Saccharomyces cerevisiae S288C: one gene and its partners. Changing the gene in region 1 together with any one later gene gives a genetic interaction. Each region holds a gene or a part of one and is shown in the gene's direction. Other genes may lie near its edges.

What was found. Genes that interact genetically often act in the same process or in processes that back each other up.
Region 2: mutations in NSG2 (region 1) and SLM3 together harm fitness more than expected from each alone (negative genetic interaction), as found in Saccharomyces cerevisiae (2 studies listed by BioGRID).
Region 3: mutations in NSG2 (region 1) and PTC2 together harm fitness more than expected from each alone (negative genetic interaction), as found in Saccharomyces cerevisiae (2 studies listed by BioGRID).

The regions. Positions count from the first base shown.
Region 1 is NC_001146.8:340,501-343,603, reverse strand, and holds NSG2 (Nsg2p), read left to right. Parts: upstream 1-1,635; coding exon 1,636-2,535; downstream 2,536-3,103. Other genes in the region: CUZ1 (Cuz1p), read right to left, coding at 264-1,088; YNL155C-A (uncharacterized protein), read left to right, coding at 1,469-1,693; IGO1 (phosphatase regulator), read right to left, coding at 2,746-3,103. UniProt on the Saccharomyces cerevisiae protein: Stabilizes the HMG-CoA reductase HMG2 by preventing its HRD1-dependent degradation. Binds directly to the sterol-sensing domain (SSD)-containing transmembrane region of HMG2, promoting its folding to protect it from degradation.
Region 2 is NC_001136.10:392,094-395,508, reverse strand, and holds SLM3 (tRNA-5-taurinomethyluridine 2-sulfurtransferase), read left to right. Parts: upstream 1-1,596; coding exon 1,597-2,850; downstream 2,851-3,415. Other genes in the region: ATP-dependent RNA helicase DBP10, read right to left, coding at 1-1,292. UniProt on the Saccharomyces cerevisiae protein: Catalyzes the 2-thiolation of uridine at the wobble position (U34) of mitochondrial tRNA(Lys), tRNA(Glu) and tRNA(Gln).
Region 3 is NC_001137.3:335,381-338,932, reverse strand, and holds PTC2 (type 2C protein phosphatase PTC2), read left to right. Parts: upstream 1-1,592; coding exon 1,593-2,987; downstream 2,988-3,552. Other genes in the region: anthranilate synthase TRP2, read right to left, coding at 1-984. UniProt on the Saccharomyces cerevisiae protein: Dephosphorylating regulator for many key proteins. Dephosphorylates the cell cycle master regulator CDC28/cyclin-dependent kinase 1; its activity appears redundant with phosphatase PTC3.

The DNA.
Region 1 (3,103 bases):
TCCCACCACCGTCCAGTGATCTTCACATTTTGTTCTAGTATTATGATTTTGATGTACATTTGATATTTTTTTATGTTTTTTATTTAAAAAGTAAGGGCGAAAATGTCTATTATTAAAAAAATATTAAGTACTTTACGTGCTTTTTAATATCGTTTTTTATTGATTATGTATCTTTAATGGGTTATTGATTTTTTTTGTTTTCTTTTTATATAGTATATACGCTTGACGTTCCGCGCGATTGTTTGTTATTTATAGTGTCCTTCTTAATTAGATTTTTCGTCGGCGTTATTGTGTACTAAATACAGAGTATCAAGATCTTTGATCTCATTAGTGACTCTTAAGGAAGCGCCAATATTATAAAATGAAACTTGTTTACCCTCTTTCAATTTGCATAGTTGAAATTTGTCATTAGAACTTGAATTAGTTAGTGTGCTAGATTTCACGTTTAGCTGGATAGACAAATAGTCCATGGCCCTACCCACAGGCCACATTTTGTTAATGTATAATGGCATTCTTGTATCCTCCTTGGCTATATCCGTCTCATCACCATCCACCAAGTAACACCAAATGTAAATCCTATTTTGCATAGGAATCTTGGGGTCACCTTTAGCAATTTTCTTGAGATTAGCCAATTGAATTATCTTATTCGACGAGGAACCGAAATTCTTTTTTGATTTGTTATTGCTCTTTCTTTTCTCATTCCTTTGGAAGAACTTAAATATTTTGTCTAATGTCTTTGAGTTCAAAGTAGAGCTCACTTTGGCAGTGTTAGAACCTCTCAAAGGCTCTCTTGTTTCACTTACTCTCTGGATTCTAACACTGGCCCTCTCAGGTAACAGACTCTTGAAATATGCTTCATCGTTAGAACTTGAGCCATCCCGGCTTTTGCTAGGACTTTTTTCAGTTTTATGAACTTCTTCATGCTCTAGCAACCACCTACAGTGGTGATCTTCCTTAAGTCTATGGTTCGAGCAGAAATCTTCATTGCAAAACGAACAATGGAAAGGTAGGAAGTCTAGTTGTCTACAATATGCACAGTGCTTTCCTACATCCAACATTCCGGTTTCTTTTTCGATAGCCGCCGACATTCTTAAATATAGCAAAAATTAGTTGATGGTCCTTTTTTTTATATCAAAATTAATGCAAGCTCTTGCAGTAGATGTACACTACAATGTGCCTATAGCTCACTGTTGTCACACTTCCGCCCTAGCTCGAGTCCTTGCTTGTACAAGCTCTTATTACATCTTTATACTCATTTGTAGAACATGCTTTTGCCACCGAAAGGAGGGTGAGGCAGTTTTATGTATATACGAACGTCGCTGGCCACGAGGGGGGAACTTTTCTTTTTATCGGCATGAGATAAAGGGTAGATACGAAATTAGCTAGACATTTAAAATATGAAAGCAAGGAAATTACTAAACTTCGAGATGTTCTTTTCCTTAAACTTCTAGTTGACAGCTCAACATTGATGATAGGGCTTATTGTAGTACCTATTTTATTTGCAATAAAGGGCATAGTAGTTGGCGTGCAAAAGGTAAAGAAAAAGTTTGGAAAGCACTCAAACACAAAGGACCAAAAAGAAGACAAGGACGAAGATAAACGACAAAGTATTTCTCAAAGAAAACAGCATACAGAATGGCCAATAGAGGAGAACCGGATCCAAAGAAGAGCACCGAATCAATCTGCTCTCTGACTAAACCGCAGCTTTATTCATTATATGATGATGACGTCGTGAGATCGGAAGATAACGAAATTTACGAAGAATTGAAACGCTCTGTCTCTATAGATTCTACCAAATATAGTAGAGATCAAACTATTGATTCGACTTTTTACTTGGCCCATAAGGTTGGCGGCTCGCTGCCAAGGAACACAGTATCTTCTAATAATTTGGAAAGGATTTTATCAGCATCATCCATTCACGAAAACTTTCCGTCAAGAACCAGACAAACTCGTCAAAATATTCTTCATTACCTGCAAGCTGTATTAATTTTGTCATTGAGCGGTTTCGCATATCATGAACTGTCCAGAAACTTGCACGATAATCATCTCTTACATCCAGATTTTGCATCGAGACCCCTTCTACTGGGTGTCAAACTTTGTAACTGGCTATCCAATGGGGTTCTGCCAAACTGGTTAGGCTACGGTGTTGAAGGACTGTTATTTGGTTCTGTTGTACCAATTCTGGATAATATTTTTCAAACAGAGGTTGTTAAGAGCTCTGTCCACCATGACAGTTTGACCTCTGTTATTAGAAGTATCAATGCCATGTTGGGAGTCACATTTGGGATCAGGAAAATACAGTGGAACTCCTCTTTGCAGGCGGCAGGGGCATGGGGGCTTCTGAATATTATACTGTGGTTGTTTTTTGACGGCTCAATATCCATGTTAATGAGCTGCATCTGCATTGGGGTGGGTTGTTGTATCTCTTGCTACAAAGATATTATCGACGGTTCCCAATTTTTATATTTCATGGATTTTTATTTCCTTGGTTCTCTAATGTTTGGAAAACTAGGAAGATATCTATATTCTCATTAAAGTCGAAATTCTGACGAGTAAATATTATTAATTAGAAGTACAAGAAGATAACATCAGAATGGCTTATCGTTTATATATAACTAATTAACGTAAACACAGTCAGCCATATGGCTGTAACACTTGACATTTCGAGAAATCACATAATAAGCGTTAAATATAAGAGACCCTTCTCTTTCCCTAAAAAAATATAAAAAAGTACAGGTTGTCTATTTATCTAATGGGTGATTCAGTATACAAACTGGACGACGAAGAGCTGTGGTTCCCCACTGGCGTTGAACTTGTACTACCACCTCCAATAGTACCGTTATTAGACGATGGTGGTCCACTCGATATACTTCCCTCCTTTTGTATCAACGTCGCATTATCTACTACACCAGCGGTTGAGGCAGTTGACGGACAAGTGCTTATCCTTCTTTTTATTATATCTTCTCGTAGTTTGCTGGGATTTGTTAATGGCAGGTTATTCTTTCCATAGTTTATTGGATCATTGTTTTGAATGCCAGCTTTCTGCAAAGCGTAATCACCACTGTCGAAATATTTTCTTTTCTGCATGGTATGCTTAAAAATA
Region 2 (3,415 bases), on another chromosome or scaffold:
GAAGGAAGTTCATTAGCTGCAGGCATTTTTTGTTTACGGAACTTTTCCTTCTTGAAATTCCTCCTCTTCTTTTGGCGATCATTTTCATCATCTGAGTCACTATCTGCCTCATTGTTACTATTTTGCAGCTTTTGAAGTTGTTCACTAGTGGCTAACGGAATCTTTATGATTTCTTGCAAAATATATAATAGGTTCGCCTCTCTATCTGCGTTTTTACTGGATAGAAAAAGCATTTCTAAGTTCTCTGAAACTTTCGTTTCCGCGTCCAAACGAACCAAAACTGGATTAACCAAACCAGCCTTAACAAAATCAACCAATGAATTAGGTAGAGTAGCAGAAAACAACAAAGTCTGTCTTGTTGTAGGCAAAGATGCAAGTAATTCATTCAACTGTTCTTGAAAACCCATTTCGAACAACCTATCAGCTTCATCGAAAACAACGTACTCAACACTCTTCAAATCGAGGTTCATTTCAACTTTCAGATGTAAAAATCTACCAGGTGTTGCAATAATAACGTCTGGGTTGGTCATCATCATGCCAAATTGTTCTTCCAAGGAATCACCACCAGTCAAGAGGACGCTTCTTAGTTCTGTTCCTCTGGCAAAATCCTTGAAAACGTTGAAAGTCTGCATGGCTAATTCTCTGGAAGGCGATAAGATGACTGCACGGGCGCCAATTTTACCTGAGTGACTTTTCAATTTTTCCACCATTGGCAAGATGAATGCTGCAGTCTTACCAGAACCGGTACGTGCCATACCAACAATATCCCTACTTTGCAAAATTAATGGGATAGTCTTCCTTTGAATAGGAGTGGGTTGGCGAAATCCCTTCCTTTTAATATTGTTCAATACAATTTTGGATAGGCCAAAGCTGGGAAAACTACCTTTTTTATGCTTTGTTTTCTCCAAGTTATTTGTGGAGAAATATTCATTGACATCATCCTCATCATCACCGGTTTGAGTTTTACCAGATGCATTGTTTTCATCATCTGACATTTCTAACATTGGAAATGCTGCTATTTCCTTCTTACTATTCTTTTTTTTCTTGATGTCCTTGTTTTCAGCCTTCTTCTTATTGTTCACTCCTTCTTCTTCATCTGAGCTGTACTCGATCACATCCTGGACATCGTTGGGACCATAATCAGCTTCAACTTCACTATCGGAGTCGTTAGCATCACTCTCACTATCATTTAAGGCAATTTCATTTGCAATATCAAAGGCGATGTCGTCCTCCTCGCTTCCATTGTCGTCTTGATCTTCGAGATCCCTTTTTCTTTTCTGCACGCCTGCCATATTCTAGGTTAAAGAGATATGTGGTGGTAACTTAAATGACAAAAGTACTTTTAGTGACTTTACTTCAAGCAGTAGGAAGTTAGTGAAGTACTAGTAACTCTCTGTAAAGCCATTTTGTATGAATTTCATCTCATCGCTTGAAAATTTTAAGAGCGCCGGGTAGTAACAATTGGTCTCTTATTTTTTTCTTTCAATAGTTGAGGCAAAACATTGCTTTATTGTAAAAGAATGAAAGTTTGGAAACATACAAGAACGTTAAAAATGTGAGCGTATTGATTTGGCAATCGATTCAAGTCAGATAACAATGCTGGCAAGATATTTAAATTTAATAGGACGGAGGAGTGCTTCACCGTACAGACCACAGCGGCTACCGGCAAAGTTTGACAACGTGATAGTGGCAATGTCATCTGGGGTAGATTCCTCTGTGGCGGCAGCACTATTTGCCGGAGAATTTCCAAATACCCGAGGAGTATATATGCAGAACTGGTCTGAATCACAATCTTTGGACGACCCTGGCAAGGAGCCATGCTACGAGAGGGATTGGAGAGATGTGAACCGTGTCGCTAAGCATTTGAACATCCGAGTTGACAAAGTTAATTTTGAGCAAGATTATTGGATAGATGTATTTGAACCAATGTTGAGAGGCTACAGTGAAGGGTCGACACCCAATCCAGATATCGGTTGCAACAAGTTCGTCAAGTTCGGCAAGCTGAGAGAGTGGCTGGATGAGAAGTATGGGACGGGTAACTATTGGCTTGTTACTGGTCATTACGCCCGAGTTATGCAGGAAATGAATGGAAAAGGATTATTCCATTTACTGAGAAGCATTTATAGGCCCAAGGATCAAAGCTATTACCTTTCACAAATCAACTCCACTGTTTTGTCATCTTTGTTGCTACCCATTGGCCATCTAACGAAACCAGAAGTACGAGATTTAGCGAAGTATGCAGGCCTCCCGACTGCAGAAAAGCCTGATTCACAGGGCATATGCTTCGTCAACAATTCCCAGCATGGGAAGTTCAAGAATTTTTTAAAGCACTACCTACCCAGTTCACCGGGTGATATCATTACCGTTGACCCACAATCCGGTGCCAAAACGACATGGGGCAGACACGATGGATTGTGGTCTTACACAATTGGACAGAAAGTGGGCATATCCATGCCACAAGCTGACCCTAATTACCAAGGGACCTGGTTTGTCAGTGAAAAACTAAGGGATACCAACGAAATCTTGATAGTCAGAGGAAGAGATAATCCGGCGCTATACAGTGACACTATGCGAATCGAAAACTTTTCGTCTTTGGGCCCCAGGGAGGACACTATAAACGCTTTCCAAAATACTGGTGCCTTGACATTACAATTCCGGTCCCTGCAGGTCCCAGTCCAAATTAAATCGTGCAAACTGAATCGCTCTGCCGACAACCTCGACATAACAATACACTTAGCCTCAAAACAACGTGCCATAACTCCTGGGCAATCGTGCTGTCTATATATCGACGATAGAGTCCTTGGGAGTGGGCCCATTTCCCATGTTAATAATAATGACACCCATGCATAGTGATGATAATGAATTTAGTATATCACCTTATACGATGCGCCGCAGCAATTAATCTTAGCAACATACTTGCCTAATTGAACCACGGTGGTACGATACAGCCAAGAAGAGCTCATGAAGCGGCTGACCATTTCGAAAAGTAATCTGTATATATGAAGGTCTTTTCCCTTGAATCATGTCTCAATAAGTAGTTCATTTTTTTTTGCCCTCTTGTTTTTCTTTTTCATTTTTTTAAATCACACTTTTTTTTCTTTTCAAGATTTATAAATCTTCCTTCCAGGTTTGAGCCGGACCCATTGTTTAATTAAAGCATAGAAGGCAACGAAGGAGTGGGTTATAGAATTAGCATTGCGGCAAAAACGTCATATTTATTAATATTTATTTGCGAAGGTCATATTCAACGCAATCGCACGTCCTCTTCCGTCTTTTTTCTAGCTTTTGTCCTTTTTTATTTGTCTACATCCCTTTCTCTACGGTATCCAGAAGAAGGTGTGTGTGTGTGTGTGTGTGTGTGTCTATAAAAAGCAGTAAGAGTCACCAAAAAAAAAAAACGACAAACAAGTGATCC
Region 3 (3,552 bases), on another chromosome or scaffold:
ATCATCCTCTTCAGTAGTAGCCCCACGTTTGACAGTACCAGCAATTGGATGGGTAATGACTCTATTTTTGGAATCCGATTTGCACAACAATTCTGGAGATGCACCAATGATTTGGAAATCCAAACAATCAATATAAAACAGGTAAGGAGATGGGTTCACTGTACGTAAATGTCTGTAAATATTGAAAGGATGTAACGAAGTTGGCCTTGCCACTCTTTGCGATGGCACACCTTGAATAATATCACCTTTCTTAATATGCTTCTTCAAAGTGGAGACGTGATTTTCGTAACCTTCCTTGCCCACATTCGATTCAAAAGTTTGATTCAATTTAATAGGAGGTTGTTCTGGATATGGTATTGGCGAGGAATCGTCGGTTAGCTTTGATACGATATCAGTGATTATTTGTGCTGCAGCTTGGTAACCTTCCTCCAACGAAGTTTCATTGGTATTAATGTTATGAATGATTTGAAATCTCTGAAAAACATTATCAAAGGCAATAATGGTATCACAAAGCATTAAATATGCCTCTGGAAGTCTTAGGACATCTTTCAAAGGCCTTCTTGTTTTTGGCTCGAAATAACGAACACAGTCATAAGAAATATAACCAATAGCACCACCACTTAATTTCGGTAAACCAGGAACATTTTCGGCTACTTTAAAGGTAGACATCTCCTTTTCCAAAATTTCCAAAGGATCTGTTTCAATGCCTTCAGTAGGACCGGTTTTGATGGTCTTGCGTGGCGAGATACCTATGAATGAATAACGATCTAATTCATTATTTGTCTTAGCACTTTCCAACAGAAATGATTCCTTTCTATCAGGGTTGTTCAATTGTGCCAATTTTAGATATGCCACGTGAGGAGTCAGATCCAATGATGGCAAATACGCATACACGGGATACATATTTATGGAACTATCGTCATTTTGCTGCTGTAATTGCTTTAGAGAGTCAATATCCGGTTGAATTTTGATGGAAGCGGTCATTTTTTGCCTTTTTTCCAATCAGAATATCAGTGCTAATTATCGATTGTGGCCTCGGTTTTAAAGTGATGATTGCCTTCTGCTACGATGGACCATAGCCCTTTAGTCATGTTAATATATCAAAATCTAACAATACTTCGATGAGTGAAAAATCGTAATGAGTCAGCAAATCACTGTGTACGTTAATGCCTTTAACAACTTTTTTTTTCCCACAAACTACTTCAACGATTGAAAGGATTATTCTAAAAAAAAAAATATCATGCTGATAAATGGAAGGGGATGGTAAAACAAAGAAAACCAGCCAATTCGGATTCTGACAGAGCAAATTGAAACTGGATATTATAGTGCTAAGTATATAGACTTCTGTTTTGTTCTTTAAAACTAAATAAAAAAAATTCACCCTCCTCCCCACGGAATAAAACTACAACAAGTTCTGTTATCAAGGACAATTAGTGTATATTAGTTGTTGTAACATTTTTTACTTTCTCTTTTTTTTTTTCATTGATTAATTATAACTATTCGTTCGAGATAGTAGTTTTCCGATTAATAACATCCCTAGGATTTTGACTATTCCATTGTTGTATAAAATATAGAGAACCAGAAAAAGAAAAATGGGACAAATTCTATCAAACCCGGTAATTGATAAAGAGAGCCACTCCGGTGCTGACTCCTTGACCGCGTTTGGACTGTGTGCAATGCAAGGGTGGCGGATGTCAATGGAGGATTCACACATTCTAGAGCCTAATGTTTTGACAAAGTCCGATAAGGACCATATTGCATTTTACGGTATATTCGATGGTCATGGTGGCGCTAAAGTAGCAGAATACTGTGGTAATAAAATAGTGGAGATCCTGCAAGAGCAGAAATCGTTCCATGAAGGAAATTTACCAAGGGCTTTGATTGATACTTTCATAAACACAGACGTGAAACTGTTACAAGATCCTGTGATGAAAGAAGACCATAGCGGATGTACGGCTACATCCATATTAGTATCAAAGTCCCAGAACTTGTTAGTATGTGGTAACGCTGGTGACAGTAGAACCGTACTCGCCACCGACGGGAACGCAAAGGCATTATCATACGATCACAAGCCCACTCTAGCAAGCGAAAAATCACGTATTGTGGCAGCTGATGGCTTCGTAGAAATGGATAGGGTCAACGGTAACTTGGCGCTCTCTCGTGCCATTGGTGATTTTGAGTTCAAATCCAACCCCAAATTGGGCCCCGAGGAGCAAATAGTGACATGTGTTCCGGACATTCTCGAGCATTCTCTAGATTACGATAGGGACGAGTTTGTAATCTTAGCCTGTGATGGTATCTGGGATTGTTTGACTTCCCAAGATTGTGTGGACTTGGTTCATCTCGGCCTTCGCGAAGGCAAGACATTGAATGAAATTTCTTCGCGGATCATCGATGTCTGTTGTGCTCCCACCACAGAGGGGACGGGTATTGGATGCGACAACATGAGTATAGTGGTTGTCGCGCTGCTGAAAGAAGGTGAAGACGTCGCTCAATGGAGCGACCGTATGAAGTCCAAGGCCCACCGCACATCAGTGCGTTCTTTTGCAGACAAGAGAAGAAGGGTGTTTAGTTACTACGATTTTTCCAAATGTAACGACGAACAGGTGTTCGCTATCACTACGAAGAAACCTCAGGACAAATTCACTCGCGACCACGAAGCCGCTGTGGCCTCGGTGACTGCCGCCGATAACGACGATCCAATGGACATAGACGACACGGACGCTGACACAGATGCAGAAAATCTTGACCCTTCCAGCCAATCCAAGAGCAAGACCTCCGGCCCCATTGATCTAGCATCCTTGGAGGCGCTACTTGGTGCTACAGGAGGAGTGAAGACAGACAGCAACGGGAACAAAGTCACCTACACTCTTCCCCAGTCTGCCTTGGCCCAACTGCTCCAAACCATGGGCCATGACCCGGCTTCCTCCCATCCCGAGAATGACAGTAACACTGACCACAAGGCCGGCCGTTCCCACTTGCAATGAAGGATCTTCCATCCTTCATTATATATACATACCTATATACGAACCGAACGAACAGAAAGAGAAGAGAAGACGCAAGACACCACCAGAACCAAGAGCATACACCACTACCACCACCATCGCTACCAACAGCAGGATATCCGGATGCAGTTTGACGCTTGAAGATGGTATTCACCTCAGGGGTAAACGCGCAGAAACTGCGCGTTTACCTGCAGCGACGCCACAAAAACGGACCGGCCCGGCCAGAGGGTGAGACCAGCAGCGGCCCCGTTGTGAAATCTCACCCCCAGTCCCGGATGGGCACGAGTCCCCAGCGCCCGTCCCATGAGGTCCTCCTAAGGTAGACAGCGCGGATGTTTCCGATGCAAAGGAGAAAGGATGGACGGTACAGACATCGTAGACAGGATTCGCGCATTGCCTTGCACATCTGTGCCCCATCCAATCTACCGTATCTATTGTTATCGTCGTGTGTGCTACTCTTTTCTCCGACAGCCTCGACAAGACGGAATCAGAAAGTGCACACAGTTTAAAAAGGAAAAAAACCGAGTACAACAAAAACAGGGACAGG